Danio rerio: one gene and its partner. The protein of the gene in region 2 interacts with the protein of the main gene of each other region in a pairwise test. Links are inferred from orthologs where the notes say so. Each region holds a gene or a part of one and is shown on either strand. Other genes may lie near its edges.

Evidence for each region. The genes of interacting proteins can lie anywhere in the genome.
Region 1: the proteins of cass4 (region 2) and cdc42ep2 interact in binary tests that used the Homo sapiens proteins (3 or more experiments, as listed by UniProt). The link is inferred for Danio rerio from reciprocal best matches to the Homo sapiens genes CASS4 and CDC42EP2.

The regions. Positions count from the first base shown.
Region 1 is NC_133180.1:38,620,943-38,625,643, reverse strand, and holds the start of cdc42ep2 (cdc42 effector protein 2), read right to left. Parts: upstream 3,654-4,701; 5' UTR 3,452-3,653; intron 1-3,451. UniProt on the Homo sapiens protein: Probably involved in the organization of the actin cytoskeleton. May act downstream of CDC42 to induce actin filament assembly leading to cell shape changes. Induces pseudopodia formation in fibroblasts in a CDC42-dependent manner.
Region 2 is NC_133186.1:29,872,710-29,877,476, forward strand, and holds the start of cass4 (cas scaffolding protein family member 4), read right to left. Parts: upstream 3,086-4,767; 5' UTR 2,928-3,085; coding exon 2,922-2,927; intron 1-2,921. UniProt on the Homo sapiens protein: Docking protein that plays a role in tyrosine kinase-based signaling related to cell adhesion and cell spreading. Regulates PTK2/FAK1 activity, focal adhesion integrity, and cell spreading.

The sequences.
Region 1 (4,701 bases), on a different chromosome or scaffold from region 2:
AATAGTTAGAAATCACCAAGGTGGATGCCAGGGGATAATAATTTTCATTTTTGCATGGAAATCCAATAACAATTATCTCATCTAAAATTTAATAATACATACTTTTCTTTGCACTTATTGGTTTAAAAGGTAAATTTGCTATGAGACAGTATTTCGATTTATTATTTATATTTGGTTTCAAGAAGCGCTGCATGATATTGTAAAAATCTGATATTGCAATATTTTATTTTTCTGCCATAAATATTCCGATATGAATAGTTTCAGAAGATGGTTTGAAGAGCTCTTTTTCACAGTTTTCTGGAGAACCTAACAGTATTCAGTTACAGAAACTTATTACTCACAATTGTCTAGTCTGAATATCAAAAACATTCTTAGACCAAGTAAAAAAATTGTTTAGTTTTCACTGTCAGATGAAATAGTTGAAAATTAAGAGTTTATTTGCTTGTTTTAAGGAAATTAGGAAAGTTAAATAAACTTGCTTTCACTATGACATGTAGATATTTGGATTAGAAACAAGACAAAAATTGTAAGCAAGACATGTTTTTTGCAGAAATCATATAAATTCCATATAAATACAATTCTGTGGCTTTTGGTCAACTGTAATTCAGATTGGACATTGCATACCTTTGCAATGAGACTATTGCGAATATGCACATTGCGATATCGAAACTAAAACGATATATTGTGCAGCCCTAGTTTCAAGTATTATTTTTCAAAGTCTTTTTACAAATGTGCGAATCATCGACACCAAAGGAAACTGCCTGAATGACGATTGTGAATGATGAAAGTGCATAGCATTTGCACATGAACATACCTTACACATGCCATTGAGCTGACTCACTAAACTGAGCTAGATAATATTGAACTGCAGATAAACAGAGACCAATTACCACATCAGGTTAGCCCTGACTGAACCAACAGAAGAAGTGATTCATTAGATTACATTGCATACAACCTGCAAGTCGTTTCATTACAAGTATTAGCTTTTATCTTTTTTTCCATCTAAAAAGAATCCAGACCGACAAGCACTTAAATCACGCAAGCAACTAATGTAATGAGGTCAATTGGATGTAACCACAAATCATTTTGACTACGCATAGTAGCATTACCTTCATAATACTGTAAAGTTGAAGGGTAAATGCTGTTTGAAACTAAAGTGGGTCAGCATTAGCAAGACTTGCATAAAAAAATGTTTGGATGTCAGAAGGCTCTAATCAAATAACAACTGAATAACAATTTTTCCAGAGAAGGAATCAGGCAAGTCCTGTTCAGACTCGCAGAGGAGTGTCAGGAAGTGCCAGTGGTTTTTCTCTTATGGTATTCAGATATCTCTGTGTTTATAACAGTCTAATCGTAAATGTGAAACAATTCTGTGGAATTCTGATTATGGAGAATATGTACCGTCACTTAAGCCAATTAAAATCATGCTTAAAAACCGGAAAATAAACTGTGCTGCTCCTCTCAAGGCCTGAGCTTGTTTATTAGTTTCGGAAAAGAAGTGAACAATGTTCCTAGAAAGTGTAAATGAGGCGCTGTGTTCAGGCAAGCCCAACAAACTGCTTTATTTGTCAGACACTGAAATAAAACACAACACTTTTGGTTTGTTTAGCACAGAGAGAGTTACTGTTAGACATGACGATCAACCATCAAAACACAAATGTTGTGAGGTGAAAAACGACCCAGATCTCAATAATGCACATTGTTCAACATGATGACAACAATGGTAAGAAACTTAACCTTACTTATAAAAAACTACCTATTGGAAGCTTTCTTTGGAGCCTACTCAACAAAATCAAAAGATCTTCCTGACATTTTAATTATAAACTGGTTCCAGCCGATCAAAACAATCATTAAACCAATAGTGGTAAATGAGAGCAAGCATGCACCGTTAACACCCTCAATAAACATAACCATCAGTGGAGTTTTAGTAGATCATTTGAATAAACAAATTAGCCACAAAACACAGCAAAACATAAAACAGTTGAAAATTGCAATGATACTGTGTTGAAAGTAACTGACGTGCCCAGACTAAGTGAGAGATGGGTCAGCAGAGCACCTCCCCCTGAGGGGCCTTGAAGACTAGCTTAAAAACGCTGAAAGCAGCGGAAGCCGTTCTGTTTGAATGAAAGTCAATGAAGGAAAACAGTTTGTGACATTGATTGTGTGTAGAAACAACATATAATATAACCGTCTGTCTGTTTATCACCATAAACATGTTTTACAATTGAGCAGAATACTCAAATTGTTTTGTTAATTCATGAACATTTTTGTAAAGTATGAGTAATTTTATAGAAAACTGCACCCCTATGGGATCCTCAAACAACAATAGCATTCAGTAATATCCTAGCCATTGTGCAACTTTACTACACTGTAAAAGAAAAACAGTTGCCTTAAGTTTTTGAGCTGAAACAAATTAACCCTTTGATGCACAAGCTATAAAATAGATATAGAAAAAATACACTTAGATGGGTCACTTTAGACCCATGTAGTGCATCAAAAGGGTTAACCTTATGAGTCTTTTGAACTTATATTACGTTAAACTGACTTAAAACTGCTTGCATAAATTGTTAAATTAAGTTAGATCATGGTTAACTTAGATTAATCAACTTAAAATGTTTGCTTCCAGGACTAATTGATCATATAAATGTTTACAATGTAGGCACATGAGATCAATGCCTTGCTTTTTGAATTTTTCCCTAATGATGTAAGGGTAAAGGATATTATACCACTTTAGATTGAAATAAAGTTACATTTTCTAAAAATAAAAAAATAACATTTGCCTACTTCAAAAGAAATATACAAACATTGTGGACAGTTTTGGGTTACTTTTACCAACAGCTTATTAAAATTCAAGCATGTCTAAACTTCCTTATACATTCAAACATTCATGCAGAGTTCACCTTACCTTCTAGTTCGAAATTAAACTTGGATCAAATGAATAAAAAAAAGAGTTTGGATTGAAATCTGAAGTCATTGAATGTGAAAGGCAACTGTGTTGTGAGGCAATGTTGTGTTTTGTCATTACCTCTGTTCAAAGCTCTTACAGAACGTGCTGGCTTTTACATTTTTCCCACAACCTCCAAAAAAAAGTACCATCCGGGCATAATGGAAAAACGTAATTATTATTCAACTTTGTGAAAAGTAGATGATACTTTTGCGATTGAAACAAGTCTAGTGCGCAGGCTACATCTCACATGGCAGCAGCTCAATGTCACTGCAGTTTGCGCGCACCACCCTGCGCTCATTTTGCCATAAGAGCAAATCCACACAACATTATCACTGACGGACACCATGAAAATGTTCATACATCACAATCGAGCGAGTTTAAACTTTAACTTTCCTTATAAAACATAACTGATCTGACGTAAGCAGAAACCCTACACTCAACTATGCTACTTCACATTGTGCATGCATTTCAACTCCACACGCAGGAATACAACATTTTGCTTACCGCTGAGATGCTCGTGTGCTCCACTCCTTTCCAGAAACTATCTATGCCCTGCTCTAAATGATTCATTACCAATTCTGCTAGGTCATGTTCACTTCTTTCAGCGCGAAAACCTGCCGAACTGACAGAAGTACAAAAATAACCCTAACACACTTGATACCGCATACCTATAGAGCGGGCGAGCGAGTATCTGCTGATCCGGTAGAAATAGAGCCTCGCTATAGAGCGCTTTAAGCCCACCTCACATCACATCACCGCTGCACAGACCGCACAGGACTGGACTCAGTGGATCTGGATTGCCATTGATATCTACAACAATTGTGTTATCCAGGCCATTATTTGTCACTTACCGCCGCGTTGTGCCGCTTCTTCCGTGTTTGCTGAAGATTCCAGCAGGACAGGATCGAAGTGAGGCTGTAACGCATCCCGCACACACACACTGATGTCAACTCACGACACGCGGTGACTCAATAGGCTAATGTCAAGTTATCACACCCTCCACACCTCTCAAAACGATATCACAATGTCTCCTCCTCTAATCTTACATACTGACTGTACTTGCATAAACAGTTTATCATGACATCCTCCGCAGACTGAAACGGCTGTTTTCCGCTTTTAACAAGAATTTCCAAGATGCTAACGTGATTGTCTCTTAAAAACTTAAAGCTAGACCGCCGATAATAGCTAACTTTTTTCTGCAATGTATCTTGTGTTCCAGATGCTTTCCAGATCATCATGCAGTGACAATGACAGGATATCCAATGGAAATGTATACCTGACGTCATGCAGAAGAGCACATTTTTCAGTGAACCAAATAATCTAACAGTTAAAAGAGATTTTATTAGATGGTATTGATATCAAAGATTGAAAATGTAATTATGCATTTCTTAAAAGTTTGAATTATTATCCTGCAACTTTTAGACATAAGTACTTTTGGAATAACCAATTTGAGAATGTCAATTGGAATTTGATCTATCTTAAAACAACAAATATTGTGTCACTATAAAGTCAGTGAAATCTACTTTAAAATTATACCGAAAATATATCCAACCAACCAGTTTCTCAAGAGATATAAAGTTGACCTTTCTGAATCTTTTTTTTTTTTTTTTGGCAGAGTGGATATTGAAACTGTTATGCAATTTTTTTGATTGTATGTACACTACTGGTCAAAAGTTTGGGGTCAGTAGGATTTTTAAAAATGATTTAAAATAAGCTCCTCCTGCTGAGCAGGTCTGCATTTATTTTTATCAAAA
Region 2 (4,767 bases):
TTCATAAGTTAAATAACTTATGTTTCAGTTTTGGTTGAGGGGAACCACTTTTTTAGGGCCATTTGTTAAAGTAACTTTCCATTTGATCAAGCTCGAATGAATGACATGAGCCTTATTCCCTTGTTGGAATCATGTGAGTGGAATCAAGTCGGTCTGTGGGTGTGATTTCACAACTGATATCTGTCACGCTACATCACAAACCATTAAAATAAACAGTATAAGGAAGATCGCAGAAATGGCCAAAAGGTCAAGTGAGGGAAAAACCTGGAAGTAAGACATATGAAATATAATACAGAAGCAACATTAATAGCTTTAGATCTAGTAAGACTTCTTCTTTTTGATTTTGTAAGAAATTAATTATTTAATGCGGAAAAAGCTGCATTGAATCGTTCAAAATGTAAGAAATAGTAACAATTATGTTTTACATATCTACGTATATGCTCATGTATACAGCTATTTATGTGTCATTTTTCTATATGACTATACTTCTCATTTTAGGCGGCATGGTGGCTAAGTGGTCAGCAAAGTTCCCTAACAACAAGAAGGCTGCCTTTCTGTGTGGAGTTTGCATGTGTTCCAGTGTATGTGTGGGTTTCCTTCTGTCTCCCCCACAGGCCAAACACATGCAATGTAACTTCATTTGGATCGGTAACCTTGGAGTGTTTGGATTGGTAGAATTGGATAAACCAAACTGGCAGTATTGTGTGAATAAGAGAATGTGTAGGTGTTTTCCAGCACTGAAGGTTTAGTATACTTAGAATTACTGTACTCTCAGGGCTAGGTTGCAAATGGAAGGACATCTGTCGATAAAGATGTATGTCAGAGAAATTAGCGATTCATTCGGTAGCGACCCTTGATAAAGCAGGGAATAAGCTAAAGGAAAGTGAGTGAGTGAGTGAGTGAGTGACTTCTTTTATTCATGTAGTCATGTTTGGGTTTGAGTCAATTTTTTTATAAAGGTCTGATAATTTTTCATTAAAGTTTCAAATAAGATATTATTTGATAATATTATAAGATAATAATAAGTCATCATTTTTTCCATTAAGTAATAGTTTACTAAATAGTAATAGTAAATAATTGACACTATTAATGTTTCAATGCACTTTGAAAGAAAATGCAGCTTTGGAGAGCAAGAGAAAAAACATATTTCATAAAATAAATTCACATAGCTTCCCTAAATCTTAGATTTACACTTAAGAAATCCATAAAATAAAGAATGGACAGGCGGTTCATAAACCTATAAATCTGTTCTTCAAAGTTTCTTCTTCATGCTTCAAAGTTTTAGAAACAGATATCATGGCCTGATCATTTCAAAAGTGCAAGTAAATGTATAAATACACACGAAAAAAAAATCTTTGTTGAAAATAATACAGTGCTAATAAACAGATTTTTTATTTACTGTGCAAAATTGCACTTGATACTCTCAGCATGTCATATACTGGGCAAAATATTTAGCCACCTGTTGTGATCTTCTTACTGATTCTGGCTTTGAGCAAGACATGCGTGAAATCACAAACCACAGCCGTGGTCAAAGTCACAAATGAAAATCACAAATCAGCAATATTAAAGAGACAGGTCACCAAAAACTGGAAATACTCTCCCTTCACTTGTTCATGTTTGAATTTCTTACTTCTGTTGAACACACACACACAAAAAAAACATACTTCAAGAAAGCTGAAAACCTGTAACCATTATCTTTTCATACTATGGAAGTCAATAGTGACAGGTTTTTAGCTTTTTTTCATGAGATATTCTTTAGTGCAGTGTGTGAATTATACATTGACGATTGGGGTAGGGGTGGGGGGAACACATGCTTCAGTGAATCAAATTAATAAATTACATCTAATTTACTTCATTTTCAGTGTTTTGAGGGATATTTAGTGACTATTTTAAAGGCCACTGTAAGTCAAACTATAGAAATGATGTGTCTGAATGATATTTCTCCTAGCATTGACTGGTGCGATAATGCATTTACAATGGTATACACCATTATAGAGAGATCAAATGTATGTGATTATACATTTAATTATTAAAAATATTAATAATCCCCCCTCCCCTCATATAACTTGTTTTGATGTACTCAATCCCCGCCAAACCCCCCTGTAATTCACACCCTGCTTTAGTTCAACATAATTTGCAGGTTTGGAACCATTTGAGGGAGAATAAATAGTGAGAAATGTTTATTTATAGGTGAACTATCACTAAGTTCTTCACTCCTCATACACACACCACAAAATATTAAGAAAGTAATATATATATATATATATATATATATATATATATATATATATATATATATATATATATATATATATATATATATATATCCTGGACTTTTGTTTCTTTCAATAAATAGCTCAATTAAATAAGATGTCAGCTAAATAGTGAGTAAATTTTTTATTTTAAGGTGAACTATCACTAAGTTCTTTACTTCGACACACACAAACCACTACCAACACCACAAAATACACCAAAAAGAGCCAGGATTTTTTTCATTCATTCAACAGCAAAAGTGTTGTTAACCTACCAAAAATCCACCTACAACAACAGAGATTTCATTCCTCGCTTAAAGCTGTAACCTCTCCTTTCAAAAGCCCAGCTCGTGTTAACGACAGTCATAAAGTGCCATATATTCTCTCTTCCTTTCACTCTCAGGCTTCGCGGCATCACATTTCACAGCAAATTTAGGGCTGTGAGCGAGACTGAGGGCAAGGGTTACCGGCTGACAGCGCATCTGAACGGTGAAAACCCAGCAGTTGCTTACCGGCGAGAAAAAAATAAACCCGGATCTTGTTTGAAACCCTGACAGCACGCTTGAAGCTTTCTCTGAACATTTCTACTCATTCTGAAAGTCTGAACACACATCAGAAAGAAGATGAGAGGATTTTAAAATGAATAATAATAATAATAATAATACCGACCTCCATCTTTCTGAGTTCAAGCAGTTTATAAATCCCATTCAAAAGTCCATGTTGGCTTGACGGTTAGCATCTAAATCTGTTTGTAATTTTAATGTCTGTTAAAAGTATGTTGCACGTTCTTCTCAGTCTCTCACACAGACACACTCATACACACACACATATTGGACAAATAAACGGAGAGCGCAGACAGTTCACAATAAGGGGCGGGGTCTGAAGCGCTCACTCATGATGACGTCTCGCTCTCATTAATTCCAGCCAATCACAGCCCTGTCTGACAACATCTCCTCCTCCAGTTTCTGCAGAAAATACATGTTTTTAGGAAGTTGGTTAAACTTGAAACAAAAAAAAGTTCTTTTCCAAAAAGAGAAAGACAAAGTCGGGCAGTTTTACTATGACTTCCACTATTTTTATTGTTTTATTTTTACTCTGGGCTGCACATGCTTGAGCTGAGTTCCTGTTTTAATGGTATGGATTCTTCAGGGGCGGGATTTTGTTGCTGGGACGACAGATTATGGCAGTGGGTGGGGGTGTGGAGAAAAACCAATGATATACGGTAGGTCGTGGCCAGGGCCAGAAAGTTATTTCTTTTGAAATGCAAAATTTACCCCCTGTACCGAGAGATTGGGGCTTATTTACTTTAACAAGGGGCATATTTCTATTTAAAAACAAAGTATTAATAACCATTTTTAATTTCATGAGATTTCTTTTACATCATTGATGTTGTAATATTACATTAATTTAGTTGTTCCAGTGTAAAACGAGCTAAAAACAAAAGGGAAAGTGCTAACGCCCTCAGGATCAGCAGGCTAGCACAGAAACTCCAAATGAAACTGAATGATCTTTTATGCAGTGTGGAGCACAGCACTAATGAAACACCCAGCTGAGGTTTAAATCTGAAAGTGCACCAGGTTTAAAACTATTGATTCTTTAACAAAATAGTCAGCCCAAAGTTGAATAAATGAATCGTGTTGGGTTCGGATCTTTTGCTTGAATGCGTCGACATCAATACGGTACATCACCAAATATGTAGGTCCAGATCCGGTAAAATGTGAACGCGCCTTTCCTTCAGACACTAGCGAAGCGATGAGGATTAGGGGACTGATCATGGCACGAAGATGACGATCACTGACAGATGGGAGATTCGGCTGCGGCTTTGACAAACATGTTTCCATCCATATCTAAAGTATGTGTGTGTTCTTTTGATAAGCTTATTTTTTTTATAATTATTTGAAACTTAAAAAATAAAAAAAAACTTTAAAAAAATTAATTATTATTATTATTTTTTTTTTTGCTGTTCAGTTTTTTATACATGTTCAGTATTGATGAGAGAGTAACACATTTCACTGCAGCTCTTTCTGTGTGGGTGTGTGTGTGTGTGTGTGTGCATGCTCGCGTTTGTGTTTTTTGTTTCTTTTATGTTTTAAACCTATTTCAGAAGTCAAGTATTGCCACAATAGAGCTTATTCAAAGGTAAGTATTATATATGAATGACATACATTTAAAGGCAAAATTATTCAGTCTTTGAAATTTTAATTGTTTTTCAAATTTATCCCATGATGTTTAAAAAAGTAAAAAAAAAAATGTCAGCATTTCTTATAACTGTGTTTACTTTTCCTAATGAACCTAGTTAAGCCTTCTCCTATATTGCAATGGAAGCTGAATATTAGTATCTTGCTAAATAACTAAGAATGTGTTTAAACATCTCCCCCTTAACAGCACTTACATACATTTTTGCTGTGGCTGAAAAACAGTTGACTGAAAAACTTCAAATAAAGTAAGTAAAAGTGGAATTTATAGCACAAACACTTTCTTATATGTATGCAGAAATGATTTGTTTTGTTTTTTA